Drosophila melanogaster: one gene and its partners. The protein of the gene in region 4 interacts with the protein of the main gene of each other region in a pairwise test. Each region holds a gene or a part of one and is shown on either strand. Other genes may lie near its edges.

Region 1 (5,898 bases), on a different chromosome or scaffold from region 4:
TAACCGGGTGGCAGAGCATAGCGGCGGACAAAGTGACGAGTGATGAAGCCATGGTCATCTTCGCGCTCCTCATGGTTGCCCTCCACCAGGACGGAGTTGTCCTGCACTTTGACCACCAGTTCGCTGGGCTTGAAGTGCGACACATCCATGCAGACCTGGAAGCCATCCTTTCCGATTTTCGACACGGCTCCCGACGATCCCGACGAGGCGCCCACCTGTTTCTCCAGCTGGCGCAGCTGCTGCTCCATCGGTCCAACCAGGGCCAAGTAGGGATTCCTCTGGCGCTGGCAGTAGTAGGGCTCATAGAAGGGCACCATCGACATTCGGCCCAAATCGTCGGCAAGGCTCAACAACAATGGAATATTTGCCATTTTTGTTTTTTAATTGCTTCAAGATGATTCTCCTTCAAAGAATAAACTTCTTTTGTTGATAGGTTACTTTCGCTTTAGCTGTTATCGCTTTGGCTTTTTGAATTCAACTGACGCCGGTTGCACGAAAGTGCCGGTTATTTATACAACCGCTCGCTATCGTAGTGTGCGTGCGCCCGTCGGCGCTGTGTGTGTGCGCGTCGTGTCTGTGTGCTAGGGGGCACAAACATCGACATCGAGAAGGGACACGAAACTTCTCGGGCTGAAAATATCGCAGAGTTCTCGAATTTGCCGCAATTACGCATTATCTGCCATTGAAAGTGAGAGTATCGCTATGGAAAATGAGCAATCTCCTAGGGGAGTGGGAATGAAAAGGCCTGGTGGAGTGATAAGTCGCATCAGCACCGGCAAATATTATGTGTATGTATAGATGTACGTATGTAAGCACGTATGTATGTACATACATAGCAGATAGGAAGGTTGGAGTATATTCCACGAAGGATGGAGTAAATTCGCGAAACTTCGAGACTGCAGAACAGTTCTTCTTTTTATGGCCTGGCATTTAAGCTATTAACTTTAATTAATATCCAAGAATGGGGCTCTGTAGTGGGGAAATCTAATTAAAATACATAAGTGGTTAATGCCGGGTAGGTAATAACCCATGGGATGTAAGCGTATTATTACTCCAATCAGTAAGAAAATGTAAAAATGATACGATTTGGAACATATGTACATTCATACAATAAAGGATTCGAAGGATGTAAAAATTATTTGAATAAAATGTAATGCAACTATTTTGAATTTCAAAGGTCGATAGATGAAAACATAAACCAAAAAACATTAAAAACATTTAATAAATTCTAATAGTCAATATTTGGTTTATTGAAAACGAGGCTGTAACCTTTTATTATATTTGACCAATTTCTTAAGACAAATACATATGTATGTATGTAAGATTTAGCTGCACATTTGCTTGGTACAACTTGATAAATATTCAGCTTATATACACATTGTTTAGAATTCAGAATTACTTCGTAATAACCAAATCAAATGACAATTTGTTTACAATTTGTTGTTACAGTAGCGATTGAATAACCATATAATACATGGGCATTGCTATAGAACTCAATCTCTGGTTGTTATATAATTCGAGTTTTTATTTATGGCCCCATTTTCTTGTCACCACTCCTCCTCCACTGAAGTAGAGTACTCTTGGTGCCCAGGGCTTGGACAATCCAACGCCAACGCAGTGGAAGTTGTCTATTCAAAAAGGTGGCCACATAATGTGCGAGCATGCTCGTCCGGCGGATTTCTTCCCCTTGGTTAGGTAAATGGGAGCAAGTACCCAGTGTGTATGTACATGGGGAATGTATCGTATGTACAAGGGGGCATCTCGTACGCAGCAATCTCTGAAGGTTTTTGCTCTTTTCCGACTGCAGCTGGCAGATACACCATATCAATACAAACATACTATATAATATAATATATGGCCATACAGAATTGTATCCCGCAGCTGAGTTCGGGGCCCCAGTAAATTTTTAGCAAAGTCTCCACTGTCTGGCCCCCGTCTGGATGTTGTTGGTGTTGTTGTTGTTTTTTGCATTTTGGAGCTTTTCAACCGGTTGCCATCGCTTGCACTTGGCTATGTAACCACATACGAATCCAGCAATATCATCATCATCTGTGTGGCAGGGTATGTATGTATGTATGTAGATACAAATGTATATGGAGATACCATATGTATGGGTTGCCCCAGACGCTGTCACTGCGCATGTTTACGCGACGCCGGCTTGCCAATCCTCCAGCTCTGGCAACAGCGGATTTGTAGCTTCCAGGCGGCCCTGCCAGCCAGCCAGCCAGCCAGCTGTTGTTGTAGTTGTTTATCGCCGGCGACTCGAATCCGCATCGGCAACCGGCACGAGACTCAGACTCTCAGCTGTTCGCTCAATGCCGGCAGTGGGAATTCAGCTGCAACACGACCACTTTACATATACCCCGTCTATATGGATATTTGTATATATGAGTACATATATGTATATCGCCGGTACAAGGAAGATGGCATCTCTTGGGGGGGATATTCGTGCATATATGCTTCGATTTCAAGCCGGTTTGCCTCTTTTACGTATCTTTTTTATTTGGTTTTGCAACGTTGCAGTTTGGTTTGTCTGGTTTCTTGCCGACTACGAGTACGAGTACTTTCTTTGTTCTCTGGCTATCTGCGGTAGAGGAAAAGTATCTCTTATTTCGGTGTATATAGCAGAAAATGGCATAGTACATGGCTTGACTGACTGTTTTAATGGGTAGCCCTTCCCCTTGGTGAGTTCTCTGGAGGAGTTGCATAGTTTTTCGCCTGGGAGCTGGCATGGAAGCCGACTGGAAGTGACCAGGTTTTCCATTCAGCGCTGCACAGCCGCTTAAAAGCGTCGACATTCAGCCATAAGGGCTCAAACGCAGTCCAGTTGGAGGCCAGAACGGATCGCCGCCGGTTCCCAGACGACACCAATCCCCGCAAGACCTAAAAAATAAAAGATATATCTTAGCCAGATAGGAAGAAAGTGAAAATGTCGCTGATACCGTTCATACTAGATTTGGCCGAGGAGCTGCACGATTTCAATCGCAGCCTGGCAATGGATATAGATGATTCGGCCGGATTCGGGTTGTATCCACTGGAGGCCACCTCACAGTTGCCACAGCTGAGTCGTGGGTTGGGGCGTGGGAATGCAATGATGTGGGTGCCCATCAAGGGTCAGTCGGCGGCATCGCAGCATCGCCATCATCCGTACAATCGTGTGGCCGGAGCCAAGACTGCTTGCTGCAATAAGTCGCTGGTGGAGCTGGAAAAGGAATTGGGCGATAAGGGCACGTCCGGGGCAAGCGGCAGCACCAGTGGCCAACCGGCGGCCAGCAAATCCGCCTACTCCGTGGTGAATAGGAACGGCTTCCAGGTGAGCATGAATGTGAAGCAGTTCGCCGCCAACGAACTGACCGTCAAGACCATCGATAACTGCATCGTGGTCGAGGGTCAGCACGACGAGAAGGAGGATGGCCACGGGGTGATCTCGCGCCACTTCATCCGCAAGTACATCCTGCCCAAGGGCTATGATCCCAACGAGGTGCACTCGACCCTCTCCTCGGACGGCATTCTGACGGTGAAGGCGCCGCCACCACTTCCAGTCGTCAAAGGCAGCCTGGAACGACAGGAGCGCATCGTAGACATCCAGCAGATATCGCAGCAGCAGAAGGATAAGGATGCGCAGCCGCCAAAGCCGTCAGAGGTAGAGCAGCAGGCGGCAGCTAGTGCCACCACTTCCACTTTAAATCCGACTGCACCCACACCCACTCCTTCGCTCTCGCTCACTCTCGCCGAGAGCAACGGCAACGGTCAGGAAGAGACAGAGATGGAAATGCCGGCTGTTTCGCCCCCCATTTCCAATGAGGCTGCTGCTGCCGCTGCTGTTGCAGTGGAAGCCCCTTCCACCGCAGGAACCACTTCCAGTGCCAACAATGGCGTTGCAGAACCAGAATCAGAGTCCATGGAAGTGGCGTTGGCCAAAAACGAAGAGACTGCCAATGTGGATGAACCCACACCCAATCCCGTTATAAGCATCGAAGAGGAGCAAAAGGCAGAGGATGCAAATGCCAACGAAGTGCCCGTTGCCTCGAATAACGGCAATGGAGCAGTCGCAGCAGCCGAGGATGTGGAAATGCCGCTGGCCAAGAAACCGGAAATCTCCACGGAAGACAGCAAAGAGGAGCAGGCGGAGAAGGTTGATAAAGTAGAGAAAGTGGAGGAGAAGGGCGGCGAGGAACTGGCAGCCGTAGATGCGGCCATTCTACTGGCCAAAAACCAAGGCGAAAATGGAGCCACTGCAGCCAAAACCGAGGAACTGGCCAAGTGAAGACTGAACTAAAAGAAAGAACATAAATAGTAATTAAGAACAAATAATAATCTGCACGGGTAGGCGTGCGTTTTATTCCATACGTGTTTCTTGTGTTTTCTTTTCTTGCATTTCACACAAAAAAAAAGAAGCGAGAAAGCTGACGGGAAAAGCACTCAATTACTAATAGTGGGAGATTGCTGGCGTTATATGTATGTATGATTTTCTAAAAAACATATGTGACAACAACTACAAGTATTCCAGTAAAACTTAAAGACAGAAACACGAAATAATGTACTTAATAAAGAGGAAAACCAGAATAAAAAAAACTGACGTTTTGTTTTGTTTGCCGTTAGCCGGCTGTTTCTTTTGCGCTCTTTCTAGAAAATTGCAACAACTCTCTAGAAACTTCGGCTCTCTCACTCATACAGGCGCACTAGCTCTGCTTTTGCGCGTACGACAACAACTACATTTAAAATTTCTCGAAACTCATGGCATTTATTGGGAAAGGTTAGTTAGTTTTATTTTTTGTTTTTAGAGCAGCATTCAATTTAGACTTTTATAAAAGAAATTTCTAATTTGATCCCTCGTTTATCAAACGATACAAAGCTATATTCATAATTTTTTCTCTCTGTGCACGTTCTCTCTCTTCTCTTCTCTCTCTCTACTCTTTCCTTTTTCTGTCACTTTCCGGACTCTTCTAGAAAAGCTCCAGCGGGTATAAAAGCAGCGTCGCTTGACGAACAGAGCACAGATCGAATTCAAAAATCGAGCAGTGAACAACTCAAAGCAACTTTGCGCAAAAGCAAAACTTCAAACGAGAAAAAAAAGGATTAAAAACCTTTGCTTACAAGTCAAACAAGTTCATTCAACTTAACCAAAGAAAAAATATTTCAATCTCGCAAAAGGAACATAACCTAAAGGAAACGTAAAAATGTCGCTATCTACTCTGCTTTCGCTTGTGGATGAACTCCAGGAGCCCCGCAGCCCCATCTACGAGCTTGGACTGGGATTGCATCCGCATTCCCGCTACGTGCTGCCCCTTGGCACTCAGCAGCGCCGTTCCATCAACGGATGCCCTTGCGCATCGCCGATATGCCCATCGTCGCCCGCCGGCCAGGTTTTGGCTTTGCGGCGCGAGATGGCCAACCGCAACGACATTCACTGGCCGGCAACCGCCCATGTGGGCAAGGATGGATTCCAGGTGTGCATGGACGTCGCCCAGTTCAAGCCCAGTGAGCTCAACGTGAAGGTGGTGGACGACTCCATCTTGGTCGAGGGCAAGCATGAGGAACGCCAGGACGACCATGGTCACATCATGCGCCACTTTGTGCGCCGCTACAAGGTTCCCGATGGCTACAAGGCGGAGCAAGTGGTCTCGCAGCTGTCGTCGGATGGCGTGCTCACCGTCAGTATTCCCAAGCCGCAGGCCGTCGAGGACAAGTCCAAGGAGCGCATCATTCAAATTCAGCAAGTGGGACCCGCTCACCTCAACGTTAAGGCAAATGAAAGCGAGGTGAAGGGCAAGGAGAACGGAGCACCCAACGGCAAGGACAAGTAAAGGAGCCATCATCATCCAACATCATCCATCATCATTCCCCTACTTAATTGTTCCTAATTTATTGCATTGTATTTGTAATGAGCTAAAGACT
Region 2 (4,693 bases), on a different chromosome or scaffold from region 4:
GTCATTCATCTGGCCATAAACGCATTATTCAATATGCACTGAGAAGAATTTGAGTGATACACCATTTCAATCAAGGTTGTCCAAAAGTCGAGAGAATATTACGTAAAGAAGCACTTTTTATTCATAATTCGGCTTTAAAATAGTTGCATTCGAAAATAGACCCAAAAATGTTTTTCTATATAGATCGTTATTAAAAACTATAATAATAATAGAAGGCTATACTTGCTAAGATGTTGCTGATGACTTGAATCATCTGTGTTCAGCAGAGACAAACTTTGGTCTGGTGAGCACTACACTCTCCAGATTTCCCCCAGTGCATCAGCTAGACAAACGAGGGATCGTCGACGAACCACAACAACTGCGGCATCAGTGGTATCAGCAGCAAGAACAACTACAGCAACAACGACGACGTCTGACTAAATGCCTCATACTGTGCGCGATCTGCGGTCAGGCTCCTCGACTGTCTGTCCGCCGGCTGATCCGTCCGATCGGCTTTCAAGGTTAACAAGTTGAATTTGCAATTTGGCACTAGGACTGACTGGCCTACCAGATTTGATGCCCTGCCGGAGCAGAAGGATCGTTTGCCCGGCAGATAGGCCATGGGACGGTGCTCGACATCGCTTCTCAATCCCTCGACAGCATCAATCGCTTTGGTGAGAATTAAATGTTTATTCCTTTTGTTTGGCCAGCACCGCTCCCTCAGCTCAACCACTCCTCACCCGCCTACTACTCCGCTTTAATGAGCGACCTGCTCAATGCACAGAACCGAAATCAAAAAATCAAAGAGTCCCAGAGAAGTACAGCGAAAAGCACTCTCATCGAATAAAATGATACCCTCGGACGGACGACACGATGTCCCCACCTTGCTGGACCTGGCTGGGAACTTGGACTCCAATAATAATAGACCTCGAACGGGTGTCAATGCGGGTAAACAGACAATTTTAAGAGATATCTGAAATTTTTACATTTCCAACATTTTTAATGAAAAACGAAATGAAATCGTAGTTATTCAACTTTTCGCCGAATTTAAGGCTATTGCCATTAAAAAGCATTCAACAATGTATCATTACTGAACAGAATAAGTAATTGTTTACGACTACATTATATTATATATATTATTATATATTATTGCTGTTGACGTTAAGAAATTATAAAAAATATATATTTACAGTATTAAGATAGGATAATTTCAATTTCAACGGAATATATAAATAATAATATTATAGATATTTGCGTATTTTATTGGTTTAGTTGTTGCCTGAGCAACACTACTTTCAATCAACTACCAGTCCACGGCACGGGCTGGAGACCCAAAGAAGGTATGGCCCCAAAGAGCATTGGAGCAAGGAGTCCGCAATAATACGACGCTGATCTATTATTCGCTAGATTGTAAAAATGTAAAAATCACGCTTTCGTGTTGTGTATAAATTGAATGCAATTTATAAATGTCCAGAACAGAATTAAATCCCCAGCCGTCGGCACAAGCCACGATCGGGTGATGGTGATTTTTCAAAATAAACAACCTTGAGCCCAAGGGCTCCGCAGCCATATACCTCCATAGCCCATGGCCCCGTGGCTCCATGGCCCCATAGCTCCAGAGATCCAGAGCCGAGAACAATTGCCAAGGCCCAGGGCAACAATAGACGGCAGCAGGCAGAGCCAAAAGGATCCGCCAGATCGGATCCCTGGGAGCCACAGATGAAAAATTGCGCCAATTGAATTTGACCAGCGATTGTTGTCGATTGCTCCTCATCGCGAGCTGGCAGCGGGAGGGGTGTCGAGGATCGGGAATCGGGCAGCCTGGCGTGGGGCCGTGGTAATCCACTGGGCGGTCGCTTAGTTTTCAACGCATTTATCAATACCCAAGTGGATCGCCCTCCTCGTGCGGGTCCCTCCGGATTCCTTTCCAGGCGTTGACAATGCCAAGGGTGTTGTCGGGTACCTACGCCTAATGCATTTCGAACGGAATGGAAAAGAATGCCACCGTCTCTGATTGGAGAATCAATTTGCCACAGCTTAAGTCACCCTGACGAAGACATGTTTCCGCTTCCAAGGCGACTTTCTAAGTGACTGATTGTGAATACAATACAGGAATAACAATTCCCAATGTAAGACGTCCGGAAACGTATATAAACTATAGTGTTATTAAATTCTGAACTCAGTTGCAGGGGTGTATCTTTGTTCTGTGGAACACACACATTACACATTAGGCTGATCCAATACATCAGCAGACTTGTTTGAATCAATCAGTCATAGAGGAAAACTGCATCAGCAAGGTTGAGCTATGAATATCTTTATCTCCTTAATATTGGTAGTGCTGGCCATTTTATCTTTTGCTGACCACACCGTGGTAAGGGTAAATCCGTATATGGAGTATTATGGATCGTACATTTATTTTAAGGCAGACGGAGATCGGCACCTAAATGAGGACTTAAATCGAGCGACGGTAAAGAAGACTAAGTGTATGGATTACATGGATACGAGTAGTATTGGAACATCTATGTTAATAATTATTTCCCCCCAGATGGTTGGCAATGTGCCGGGGTGACGTGCCCCATAAAGTTTACGGCATCTTGTAAGGTAACAAAGGTCCTAAAGCCCTCTGATCTACAGCACACTGAGCTCCTGATTTTGTGCATGGATAAAAACGATAAGCCTATGTGTGGGATAACACGAACTCGAAAAGGGGTAATACAGGAAGTTCTGGACGTGGATGAAAACGGAAATACGATATATGACAAAAAGGAAGTTATTTCGGAGAACGATGGTACTAAAATCCCTAGGTGCCCACGAAAGTAAATGATGTGCACTGATCGACTTCACACAAATATGTTTTATCTACACAAGGTTTTTAACTTTAAATGTTATGGACTATAAAAATAATTACACATTTTTGTGGCAACCAACAATGGTTTATATATCTTGTAGAAAAAATATTGGTATAGTTTGGCAATTAGTATGTATATAGAATTGGTGAAACTAACAGAATGCGTTACACATAAATAAAGATAACGAACACAAAAGACAACAAAATAAATATTTATATAAATTGAACTAAGTTGGATCTGATTGAAAATTAGGCCTATGAGACTAGGCACAAAAACTCAATTCACTAATTGCCCCTTTTAGGAAAACAAAATTTGAGACTAAACAAATAGGTACTAAATAGGAAATTTATAAGTATTTGACTGAAAACTAAATTATGCTCGTCTAAGAGTGCTCGGCCACCGCTCGAAGTTCATCCATGAGGGAGGGCATGGGCTCCACTCTCCTCCGTTCCCGACCAGCAATAATAATCCTGCTTAGCTCCTTCATATCAGACTGGCAGGCGGAAATACCCTCGCCTAATTGGCACAAATTCGGTTGGCATCGCTGACTCCGCTCAATCAGATCGAATATGAAGCTGTTGCGAGGGCGACATGTTTCATTGGCGGTTTGCTGAACGAGCTGTAAATCAATTAAGGAAATGTCAAGAGAAGCCAATCGGAGGGGAACATACTTACCTTCTTGTAGTCATCAATAAGATTAGCCACTTCATGGGCGGGTTCCTGGGGCGTGTTGCTAGCCGTCGATTTGCCCGAGTCCGAGGCCTCAAACCGCGCTCGCTCCATTACCAAAGTGTGCTCCAGACACTGTAAAAAGCAATTAATTGTGTTACAAAGAGTTACTTTAAGGGAGTAAGACATAACATACCTTAATTTTTGACAAAGCTTGCTGATGCCTTCCGCTGATCTCCGCCAGCTTCATTTTAAGCCCAGGAAGCTCTTCAGCCTTTCGATTGTTAACCCTCCCATTTCGCAGTTCCTTTCGAAGAATTTTGGCCAACTGAGGCCAGCTTTTTATATGTGGTAGCCTCCTTCCTGTTTCCATCTCAAGAACGTGACCAAGAGATCGCAAACACTCTACTGCTTTGCGTTCTTCTCGCGCAATTTCCTCCTTCTCATCTAGCAAAGACTTTACCTGGCCTTGCAGCCTTTGCATGTTAATCGACGCAGCGGAGTTTATCTTCAGATTCTCTTGGAATGTTTTCTTCAAAAGCTGTAACTCTAGTCGATTTTCCTCGTCCTGCGCTTGGCTCAATTTCTGGAGCTTTTGCAGTTCATCATTTTGTCCAGCGAACAATTCATTCAGGTGCTCCAATTCAACCGTCTTATGCTGTAGTTCTGATCGCATTTCCTGCTCCAAGCTTTGAGTAGCTTGCAGAGCATCTAACAGTTGTTGCCAGTCTGCTTCCATTTCGTTAGTGCTCTTGATTTTAGCTTCTTGCTGTTGAAGCAGTATTTGGAGCAGCGAAACTGTGTGCAATTTTTGGCTCCTGACATCCGCTAGTTGTTGTTCCAAAGTCTCAATGCGTTGAACTAAAATCGGATCTTCGAGGTCCGTTTGGGTCGCTTGGTTGTGTTTCAACTGCACTTGCCAGCCCTCTGTCTTTTTGATTTGGACATCGATACGGGACTCTGCTTCGGCCAACGCTTTTCTCAGCTCATCACACTGCGCTGCATAATCTTTGAGTTTCTCCATTAGCTCACTTTCCTTTAAGGAACCGTTTTGCTTCATTTTGGCAATCTCGATTTTCTCCAGTTCCAATTGCTGTTTAGTCTTTTGACACAAGGAGCACATTTCGGCATACTGTTTTTGAAGAATGTCCACCTTCTGCTGTAGATTTTTCAAGGTCTTTTGCGCCTCACCTAAA
Region 3 (4,396 bases), on a different chromosome or scaffold from region 4:
TTGTATTTCGGCTGGAGACATCATCCATCAATAGTTCTGCATGCATTCAGTTACCTGCACACCAAATTGTTGTCCAATTGCAATAGAAGCAATTATTTGGTGTAATTTATAAACAAAACAATAGCAATCATTTAGATGTCCAAAAATATCGGGCCTTTGACACTTCGACTTTTCTTAGTGAGGAATCGCTATGAAAGCGTGGAACATCTGGCAACGCTAAGAGGTTGGCGCGAATTTTCAAATTAACTTTTACAGTAATTGCCAGTTTTCTCACCGAAATTGTAATTGTAAAATCAATTGTCATTGATTTATTTTAATTCCCTAACCAAATTCCTCTTTTCCCCATTATGAAGATCAGCTGCTGTAAGTATCATATCAAAAATAGATCACGAAGTTTACTTTAAAATTGCACGTTTCATTTAGGCAACTGCTGATCAAACTCTGAGCATTGTTTATCATTTATTTGCGAAAAATCTGTAAACAACCCTTCACAATGAGTATATTTCAATGAAAGGAAGTTAAGTGTGTTACATAAATAGATGCAAAAAAAGCGGGGCAGTAGTAATGCTAAAATACATCGTTTTGGATATGAATGACCCAAAACAACCCCAACTTGGGGTTTTTCCATTATCAATCGAGTTCCGTATGATCAGTAAAATATATAAAAATTTTTATCCATAGATAAGAAAGGGTTGTCTATTTATTACTCCATGCACATGAATAGACTCTTCTTACATGTACATCTTTTTTTAGCATCCTTCGCACCAGCATTTTAGACTGGGGCTGCAGTGTCCACTGGTTCGCCCTTCCCTCTGGCAGATATCTACGCACTTCTTCCTGTGCCACACAGCACAGGAACCCCTATATCTTCCGGAAAGGCAGTCGGCATGTGATTCTTCCGCTCCCAGGAAAATTATCATCAAGACAGCGGACAGGACAATTAGGAACTTGATTTCCATAGTTTCGGTAGGAGGTCTGGTAACTTAGTAATTGTTGAAATGCAATCCTCAAGAAATTGATCGCTCTCAGCTCAGAATAAGCGCTTAAATACGTTCCGATCTGTAAGTTTTACACTCAGTACGACGACGCTGTGGTGAAATTTATCTCGTGGAGATAAAAATATTTACCCAGACTTTTCGGCTGCCTTTACAATTTCACCACGTGCCGAATATAACAATGCATTGATCTGAACAATAAATATTGGTTCTTGACTTGATTTTATTTTAAATAATTGTGAATGTTTAGGGAATTGAATTTTATGATTGATACATAATCATTCTGGGTCTATAGAAGTTGTCCAATTTCGGTAGAAATTCAGCATCCTTCGCACCAGCATTGCAGCCTGGCACTGCAGTGACCACTCACTCGTCCTCGTCCCTCCTCTCGGCAAACCCGCCTGCATGTCTCGTTGTCCCAGACGGCACAGGGACCTCTGTACCTTCCGGAAAGGCAGTCGGCATCGGCTTCCTTGGCGCCCAGGATGACCATCATCAGCAGAGCGAGGAAGGTGAACAGGAACTTGATTTGCATCATTTTCAGTAGTTTTCGTGGTGATTGTTTTCTTTGATGTACTAATCAATTCAGATTCGGATCGAATTTGTTTTCAAGTGCTTTCGACGAGCTTATATAGGGCTGGACTAGTCGATGTCGCTGCCAGCGTCGTTCGATTTTATTTATTGATACTACCTTTTGTCTGGATAAATATACAATACACACAATATAATTGTAAGAACGTCTCTCAATCTAGGTCCCATGAATGGTTCAAGGAAAAGCAAACAATAAATGGCGTAATGCACTTAATTATCACAACCAAAACAACAGGATAGTGATATTTGCTACTTTGTGCTTATTGCCTAAAGCACATATATTTTCGAATGCAATTCTATAAAGTTTAAATTCCAACGGAGAGCGCAAAATTCGATATAAGCATCGATAACTGCACCTAGAAGTGTGACCATGTTTCGCGAACCTCAAATACCATGACTTAATTTTCAAATTCCACTGAGAACCGGATCGGCTATTTTGAATAGCCAGTTTTTCTCTGATCGGCGATTTGACAAGACGTGCGCGCGGACTGAAAATTGGATCCCAAAACCGCTAACTGAAAAATAAATAAAGCCGTGCAAAAGAAATAAAAAGTAAAGAAACAACAAGCGGGCCAATAAGTAAAACGTAATCAGCGTTTCAATTCTCTCTTTTATTTGCGCTCTCGCTCTCTTAAGCCGCTCACATTGCACATTGTTGTTGTTATGCTCGTTGTAGTTTTTGTGCTAATTAGAAAATACCATTGTTGTTGCTTTTGCGCCGGTGTTTAAAACGCGGCTATTTCTAATTACTGCCCCAAAACAGAAATGAAAACAAAAAAAGAACAATAGAAAAAACCCACTAATCTGGTTTTTGCGTGTGAAAGCAACTGGTGTGCATTGGAATTTGTTATTAAGGTCGAAGAGCAGCAACAAGTGACAAAAATTCTTTGGCATAAATTAAAACAGAATCCCCAAAAAGCGCTGAAAAACGTTAAGATTTCTTCGGTTTTAACACTTTTTCGGCTTGTTTTTGTAACCAAAACCAAAGAACGCCGCTTATGGTCGAACAACAAAAACAACTTTCCGGTTTTTCTCCCACTTCTGCTCCCCATCCTCCTCCATTCCTTCTCCTCCTCCTGTTCGCGTTCTCTTGTTTTTTATAACCATCTTCGTCTGCATCTTTCGATTTTCACTCTGTGCGTGTGTGTGCCTGTTTGTGTGCGTGAATAAGAAAAGTGGGAAGAGTGGCGAAAGGAAGAGAAAGATCGTAGTGAAAACAGTCGGCGAAAAAACAAATAAATACGGGAATTTATGTTAATTGCAGCAGCTAAGAACGAGAACGGAAAGAAGTAGCTGCGAAGCAGGAGGCATCCAGATATCCAGAAATCTGGAGAATAAATATAATTTCTTGTGCGCCAGGATACTAACGTAAATCATTCACGCTGGATTTGGGATACTACGAGGCTGTCAAAGGTAAGCGAAGTACAAAAACCGGAATGAAAGAGAGAAGATCGTTAAAAAAAATATGGGATGTTTTACGGTCCGATGCTCCACTTTATAAGCCAATAAACCCGGCGCAAGGTGTTGCATAACATCGCTGCGGCTCCCAAAATGTAAACGGTAAAGGGCACTCCCGATCCCGGGCCGATCTTCCATTTAATACCACCTATCCACTTCCACTGTGGTCAAGTTGCGTGCGAACGGGTCGTAAAAACTGCCAGGCTGTCATATACAGACATACAGTCTAGTCTGGCTTGGAGGACCTCACTTAGCTGAAAATAGCTTAACAAGATATTAAGTATTCATAAAGTGTAACTACGAACGTGTGAGTTCCAATCTATAACTATTTCTTGTTGTAAGATCAAGTGGTTCTCAAAGCTTCTTCAAGATTCTAAAGCTTATAAAGTCTTATTTTCAAATCTTAATTAATTGCAAATCCTTACTACAAATGAGACTTCCTAGAGCGTCTCAGTTGTGGAGGCTTGCCTGTTGTTCTGCTGTGAATTAGCATAACGAGGGTACGGTGCATGGGGATTCCCTCCCCCTTTTCCCTCCGCCCGCTCTCGTTGGGCACAGGTGTCTCTAAACCAGGCTCTCTTTTTTTCTGGGCTGTGCTGGCCATTCGTAAACTAGGCTAAATAGGGTCTAAGCCCAAGCACGTTTTGGCCCCGCCCTCTTGCCGCTCCTCACCCGTTTTGGCCGTCTCGCTCTGGGCTTGGTTTATTTTTAAACCGCATTCCGCTCGTTTAGAGGCTGTCTCGCTCTGGCTGGTTGCCTGCTCGCTCGCTCATTAGGCATGCTGCAGCACCGTTAAGCGTGAAAGTTTGAGAGCCACTGGCTGCGCACCGTGATTTGCAAAGTGCAATGGCAATAAATGCATTCGCAAGACAATTGCCGCTTAAATTCAATTACACTCAACGGGTCAGCCAAGAGGCCAACGACTATCAACAAGGCCAAGGCATGGCGTCGTATGGAGTGGGGTGGTGGTGTGGGGGGTGTGTGCATCGCAGAGGCGGGGGGAAAAGCCAACGCCCCCAATGCAGCAGCCCATTTGCATACATTTGCGGCCAGCTCGATAATAACACATTAAATGTTGTCTTGTAATGATTAAATTAGTTCAATGGAATCTTAACAAAGTGGTGTTATAATAACATAACATTTAACATGGCATTTAACCTCTTTACGAAGGCATTGCAACAAAGAGTTTAATTATTAAAGTGTAGTTGTTTTTATATGTTATGCGTTACAGCGATTTGTTGAACGTTAACTCTATTTGGAACCAAAGTAATTAAAATGAACAACTAAAGGCTCTAAACTTACCACCCCGAGTGTTTCTGTTTGTAAACAGACGCCGATCTCTGCAGGAAAAG
Region 4 (4,686 bases):
CCACCAGCTAAACAGGATGCACCAGTTCCAGTTCCAGAAGTTATCAAAACGCTAGCACCGGAAGTCCCCAACGTTTCTCAGGCACCTGCACAACCTCAGGGTCAGGCTGCTCTCGCTTCTGAAAAACCAGCGGATGCGCCAAAGGCCATTGAGGAACCGAAGGCTGCACCCAAGAAGGAATCACCACCACCCACAAAACCAGTGACGGCAACAGTTCCGGTAGCACCTGCCACTCCTGCTGAGGCGCCATCTCCTCTGGCTCCCTCCACTCCGCCATCGACTCCCACCTCGGTGCCGCCCTCTGCAGCGACAGTGACTCCTCCATCTCCCGCCACGGTGACTCCTCCGTCGCCTGCTGTAGTTACTCCGCCTCAGAAACAGTCGGCGGCTCCCCAAGCGGGAATCAAGAAGCAGGAGGCAGGAACGAAGACAAAACAGCAGCAGCCAGCCAACAAGCCCCAACAACCGCAAAAGCAGCCACCAGGAGGAGCAGGAGGATCAGCTGGGCCAGGAGGGAACAAGGGCGTGCAGAAACAGCCGAACCCCAATGCCAAGCCAGCAGTTGCTCCAAAGCCGGCCCAGGCCACTCCAAAACCCGCTGCTGCTTCTCCAAAAGCATCCCCCAACCAGACGAATCCACAACAACAGCAGGGAAAAGCAGCTAACAAAGCGTCTCCTCCAAAGCAAACTGGACCAACTGGGGGGCAGCAGAAGTCGGCGGCGAACGCCTCGAAGGCCACAGCCTCCCCGAAATCGGCTGCATCCCCAAAAGCCACCTCCCCGAAGGCCGGAACTCCTACCAATCCTGCTTCCGCCTCTGGGGGTCCCAACTGATCCTCCTTCAGTCTATTTTCTAATCGGCGCCCTTGCATTTCAAACTCACTCGCATTTTCAGAGCCCATTTTCGCCTTCGTTAATCTCTGATGAACCCGGGTACTAACCGTTTTTTGATTATTTGTGGCCTTTACATTTTTGAATAAAATTATGATTTAACAAAGACTGAAGTGAATCGAGAAATTCTTTCTCAATATCTTTGGTTATTCCATTGCAATGTCACAACAAATTGTAGCCTATTAATCGTTCTCGAGAATAGCATTGAAAATTACGATTCTTTAATTTATTATTAACACATAACACATAGGGAATTTTTGAACGTGCAGCAGCATATGATACTTTGAATTTAGCGCCCCATTGGAGGCACTGCTTATCGATATTTTATCCAACTTTGCCCAGCCCTGGTTCGATAGGTCGGAAAGCCCTGCAATTTGCATGAAAGACACCCAAAATTACTTGTTTTTCGTTTATCCTGGGCTTAACTCGACTTAGCGTGGCTGCTAGAGGGCTTCTCCTCGTCCTTGGGCGCCTGCTCCTTCTCCGGGTTCAGCTTCCAGATGGCGTAGTTCAGAGCCGTCGCGAATCCCAGCCAGGCGACGTAGGGTACGAAGAGCAATCCAGCGGTCTTGTTCACTCGGTAGAACAGAACGCCGCAGGCGGACGCGGCGGCCGTGAGTGCAACTATGTCAATAAGGCCCTGGTGGATGAAGCGGATTAGACATAACACCTGGGCTTGGTGATATCAGCAGTACTCACGCCCTTGATGTTGTGCTGCCCGAAGAAAATGGGCGTCCACGCCCAGTTCAAGGCCAGCTGGGTGCCGTACGCGATCAGGGGCAGTTTGGCCGCCTCGCCGGCGAAGCCTCCGCCATCACGCCACACCAGGTAGGAGCCGTAGCCCATTCCCGCGTACAAGGAGATCCACATCGGCGCAAAGACCGAGTTGGGCGGCTTGAAGGACGGGAACTTAAGGTTGGCGTACCAGCTCTGGAGATGCTGCCTGGTCAGCCGCCCGTTATAGATGCCGCCCAGATTGGGCAGAATCACGGCCCCGGCGATGCGGAGAATGTTTCCAGCACACGGACGATCAGCCATTTTCAGAGTTCGCACTGCAAATGAGGCGCAGTAGTGGCGAACCTTCTGGTTTCACTGTTTTGTTTGCCGGTGATTTCATTCGAATGCACGAGTATTGCGAGTTAACGGGGCGAATACGCGACGGATGATTGTGTGGGTAAGCTCCAGCGATGCCAATTTGGCTAGATTTAAACTAGCTAAAGTATGTGGAATGCAACTTGAAATCAAAGACGCTAGAATTAATTAATAGAATCGCATGGTTATTTAGAGCTGTGAACATTTGATTTCTGCCATGAAGGAATTCTCATGTTTTTCTTTAACATGCTATCTGATTAATAGGGATTTAATATTTATCTGGAATTTTGGCAAAGCTGCAAAGTCATTGCTAAGCCGTTAATAGCTGGTTGTCACATGTGCAGGGGAGGAGCATAATGCTTATCAATAGATTCCAAAATGATGTAATGAATGAGTAATGTCGTCGATCTATGGAAGTAATTATTATAATTATATCTACCCATTCGTATTTATTTAAAATTATCTTCGCTGCTGGGTGTCGGAATCACCCTGTGGGTAGGCAGATTTAACAAAACCCGTTAAGTTTTGAAAATAGAAATAGAACTGTATTGTTGGGAAGTACCATATTAAATTCCCTGGAAAAGTTTTGTTTAGCTTGTTTGTTTGTTTTACCCCATGACAAATCGTGCGATCAAGTGGTGAATGATAACTTGAGAACTCATAAACCAAAGAGTTATTTGTCGGTAAAGTGAATTAATGGTGAAATAAAACTATTGTGCTTATTTGCTCTTTGCAATATCCAATAACCTGGATCAAGTTGGTATCTCAATTAATCAATTGCTTAGGAGCAACCATGACAACCGTTGCTAGGCAAACACATTGTTACTGTGTTTTGGCTCCTGCCAAAACAAATTCATCCACTAAAGGTGGAAAACCGGTGTGATGACTCTCTACTTTGACACGAAAATCGAGTTCTTGGACTCGGATGCAGTGAGCACCATCAGCAGCTGGCATCCCAGTGAGCCGCTCTTCGCAGTGGCCTCTTTTAGTCCCGAAAGAGGCGGTTCAGTGACCATCTTTGCAGATACCGTCAGTATTAATCGCTTTGGTCGCAGACCCTGCCAAAAATCGGAATGTATATAATCTATATAATCAAATTGCAGGGTGAGCCCCAGCGAGATGTAACTTATCCGGTGCACGCCACTTCGCAAGCGACGGCACTATGCTGGCATCCGGAGAAGGCGCTCCTGGCCAGCGGTTGGGAGCACGGCGACATCCATGTGTGGTTCGCTGGTCACAGGGAGTTTGCCAGCGTGAACGCACCGCACAAGGCGGCCATCGTCCTGCTGCAGTTCAGCGAGCAGGGCGGGCGGATGGTCACGGCGGATGCCATGGGCTTGGTCACCGGATGGCGCTGCGATGGCCAGTACCAGTTCCTAACCATGTTCTCCCACGACCTGCGGGAGGTGTTGCTGCTGATCTGCTTCCGCCTTACGGTGGAGAGTGAGGTGCGCGAGGAGATGGCCAATCTAGCCAAGGCTGCTGTGGCAGGCGATGAGAACGCCCTGGACACCCTAACCAATTGGAGACCGCGCACAGCAGCCCGGAGCATGACCCATTCGGGGGTGCGGGACAACCACTGCTTCTACGCTTGCACCCAAGGAGGAGTGGTGTACTACATCAACCAAGGAGGCGCCTGTGTCGAGGTGATGAAGTGCGGATCACTGCCTCCCATTGTCCAGATGTTGTGGCACCCAAGAAAGTAAAGAGCTGTTGAGATCGAAAGGTTCTTTACCTGAACCCTAACATTATTCCATTCTAGGGACGCCGTCATTTGCCTGATGGAGGACTTGACAGTCACCTTGTTTTTGGTTGAATCCACAGGCATCCTTACGGAGCTGGATCGTGTTAAAATGAGCGGACGTGGAGGCGGTCGGCAGGGAGGCATCGCGTGGTCTGGAAACTCTTTAGCCATCATAACAGGTAGGATATATTATTCGATTTTTCACTTCTGTGCTAAATTTAAGACTAATTTTCAGGCGATTTTTTCGTCCGCATTTGGGACATCGAGAGAAGCGACAATTACCTATTGAAAATGGACCTACCCAGTGGCAACCAGCCAGGCTCATCTATGACCACTTTAAGTAATGGCACCATGTCCTCGTCCAACCAATTCTTTAGCCATGACAGCAGCGAAAGCAGCGGCGTTCTCCGCAAGACACCAAAGTACGGCCAGCTGAACGGCGAAATGTTCACCTGCTTGGCATATAGCTCTACGGGACAGACTCTGTGTGCAGGAACGTCCCAGGGGAATGTCTATACTTGGAAGAGGAGCGGCAGCAGGCTAGTCGGTGCCCCCGAAGATGCCTGGCAGCTGACGAACATATCTTCCGTGCGAGGAGCCATCCGCAGCTGCGAATGGGGATACAATGAGCTAGCCAAGCCCTGCATGCTGGTCAACTGCCTTTCCAATGTTTTCATGCTGAAGGAGCAACCTCTGCTCGCCGTTCATACCCGCGAACTGTGGGCAGTTCAGAGGTCAGCCAAATCAGTGCAATTGACGCACTGCAGCGGTCGGGAGGCCATTGTTCAGTCCGAGTTCGCCGTGACTGCCATGGCTTTGAGTGAACTGAGCTTGGTGATGAGTAATGGCAGGAGCATATCATCCTATAGCCTGCAGAAAGTGGAGAAGAGCTTGGATGAGTTCGAGGAGATCCTGCAGACAGTGGAGGGCACAACACCGACGACGGAATCTACCACCAC

Evidence for each region.
Region 1: the proteins of Tspo (region 4) and Hsp67Ba interact in a two-hybrid assay, tested with the Drosophila melanogaster proteins (one large-scale study listed by BioGRID).
Region 2: the proteins of Tspo (region 4) and Sfp78E interact in a two-hybrid assay, tested with the Drosophila melanogaster proteins (one large-scale study listed by BioGRID).
Region 3: the proteins of Tspo (region 4) and Drsl6 interact in a two-hybrid assay, tested with the Drosophila melanogaster proteins (one large-scale study listed by BioGRID).

What each region holds. Positions count from the first base shown.
Region 1 is NT_037436.4:9,376,471-9,382,368, reverse strand, and holds Hsp67Ba (heat shock gene 67Ba), read left to right. Parts: upstream 1-2,834; 5' UTR 2,835-2,929; coding exon 2,930-4,267; 3' UTR 4,268-4,567; downstream 4,568-5,898. Other genes in the region: Hsp23 (heat shock protein 23), read right to left, coding at 1-371; Hsp26 (heat shock protein 26), read left to right, coding at 5,181-5,807.
Region 2 is NT_037436.4:21,681,434-21,686,126, reverse strand, and holds Sfp78E (seminal fluid protein 78E), read left to right. Parts: upstream 1-2,162; 5' UTR 2,163-2,284; coding exon 2,285-2,462; intron 2,463-2,524; coding exon 2,525-2,799; 3' UTR 2,800-3,029; downstream 3,030-4,693. Other genes in the region: CG11248 (uncharacterized protein), read right to left, coding at 3,211-3,447, 3,504-3,632, 3,694-4,693.
Region 3 is NT_037436.4:3,334,830-3,339,225, forward strand, and holds Drsl6 (Drosomycin-like 6), read right to left. Parts: upstream 1,590-4,396; 5' UTR 1,534-1,589; coding exon 1,315-1,533; 3' UTR 1,203-1,314; downstream 1-1,202. Other genes in the region: Drsl1 (Drosomycin-like 1), read right to left, coding at 750-959.
Region 4 is NT_033779.5:556,942-561,627, reverse strand, and holds Tspo (translocator protein), read right to left. Parts: upstream 2,017-4,686; 5' UTR 1,930-2,016; coding exon 1,591-1,929; exon of another isoform or gene 1,532-1,590; coding exon 1,313-1,531; 3' UTR 1,105-1,312; downstream 1-1,104. Other genes in the region: uncNacbeta (putative nascent polypeptide-associated complex beta subunit), read left to right, coding at 1-834; rempA (reduced mechanoreceptor potential A), read left to right, coding at 2,866-3,012, 3,087-3,685, 3,746-3,906, 3,963-4,686.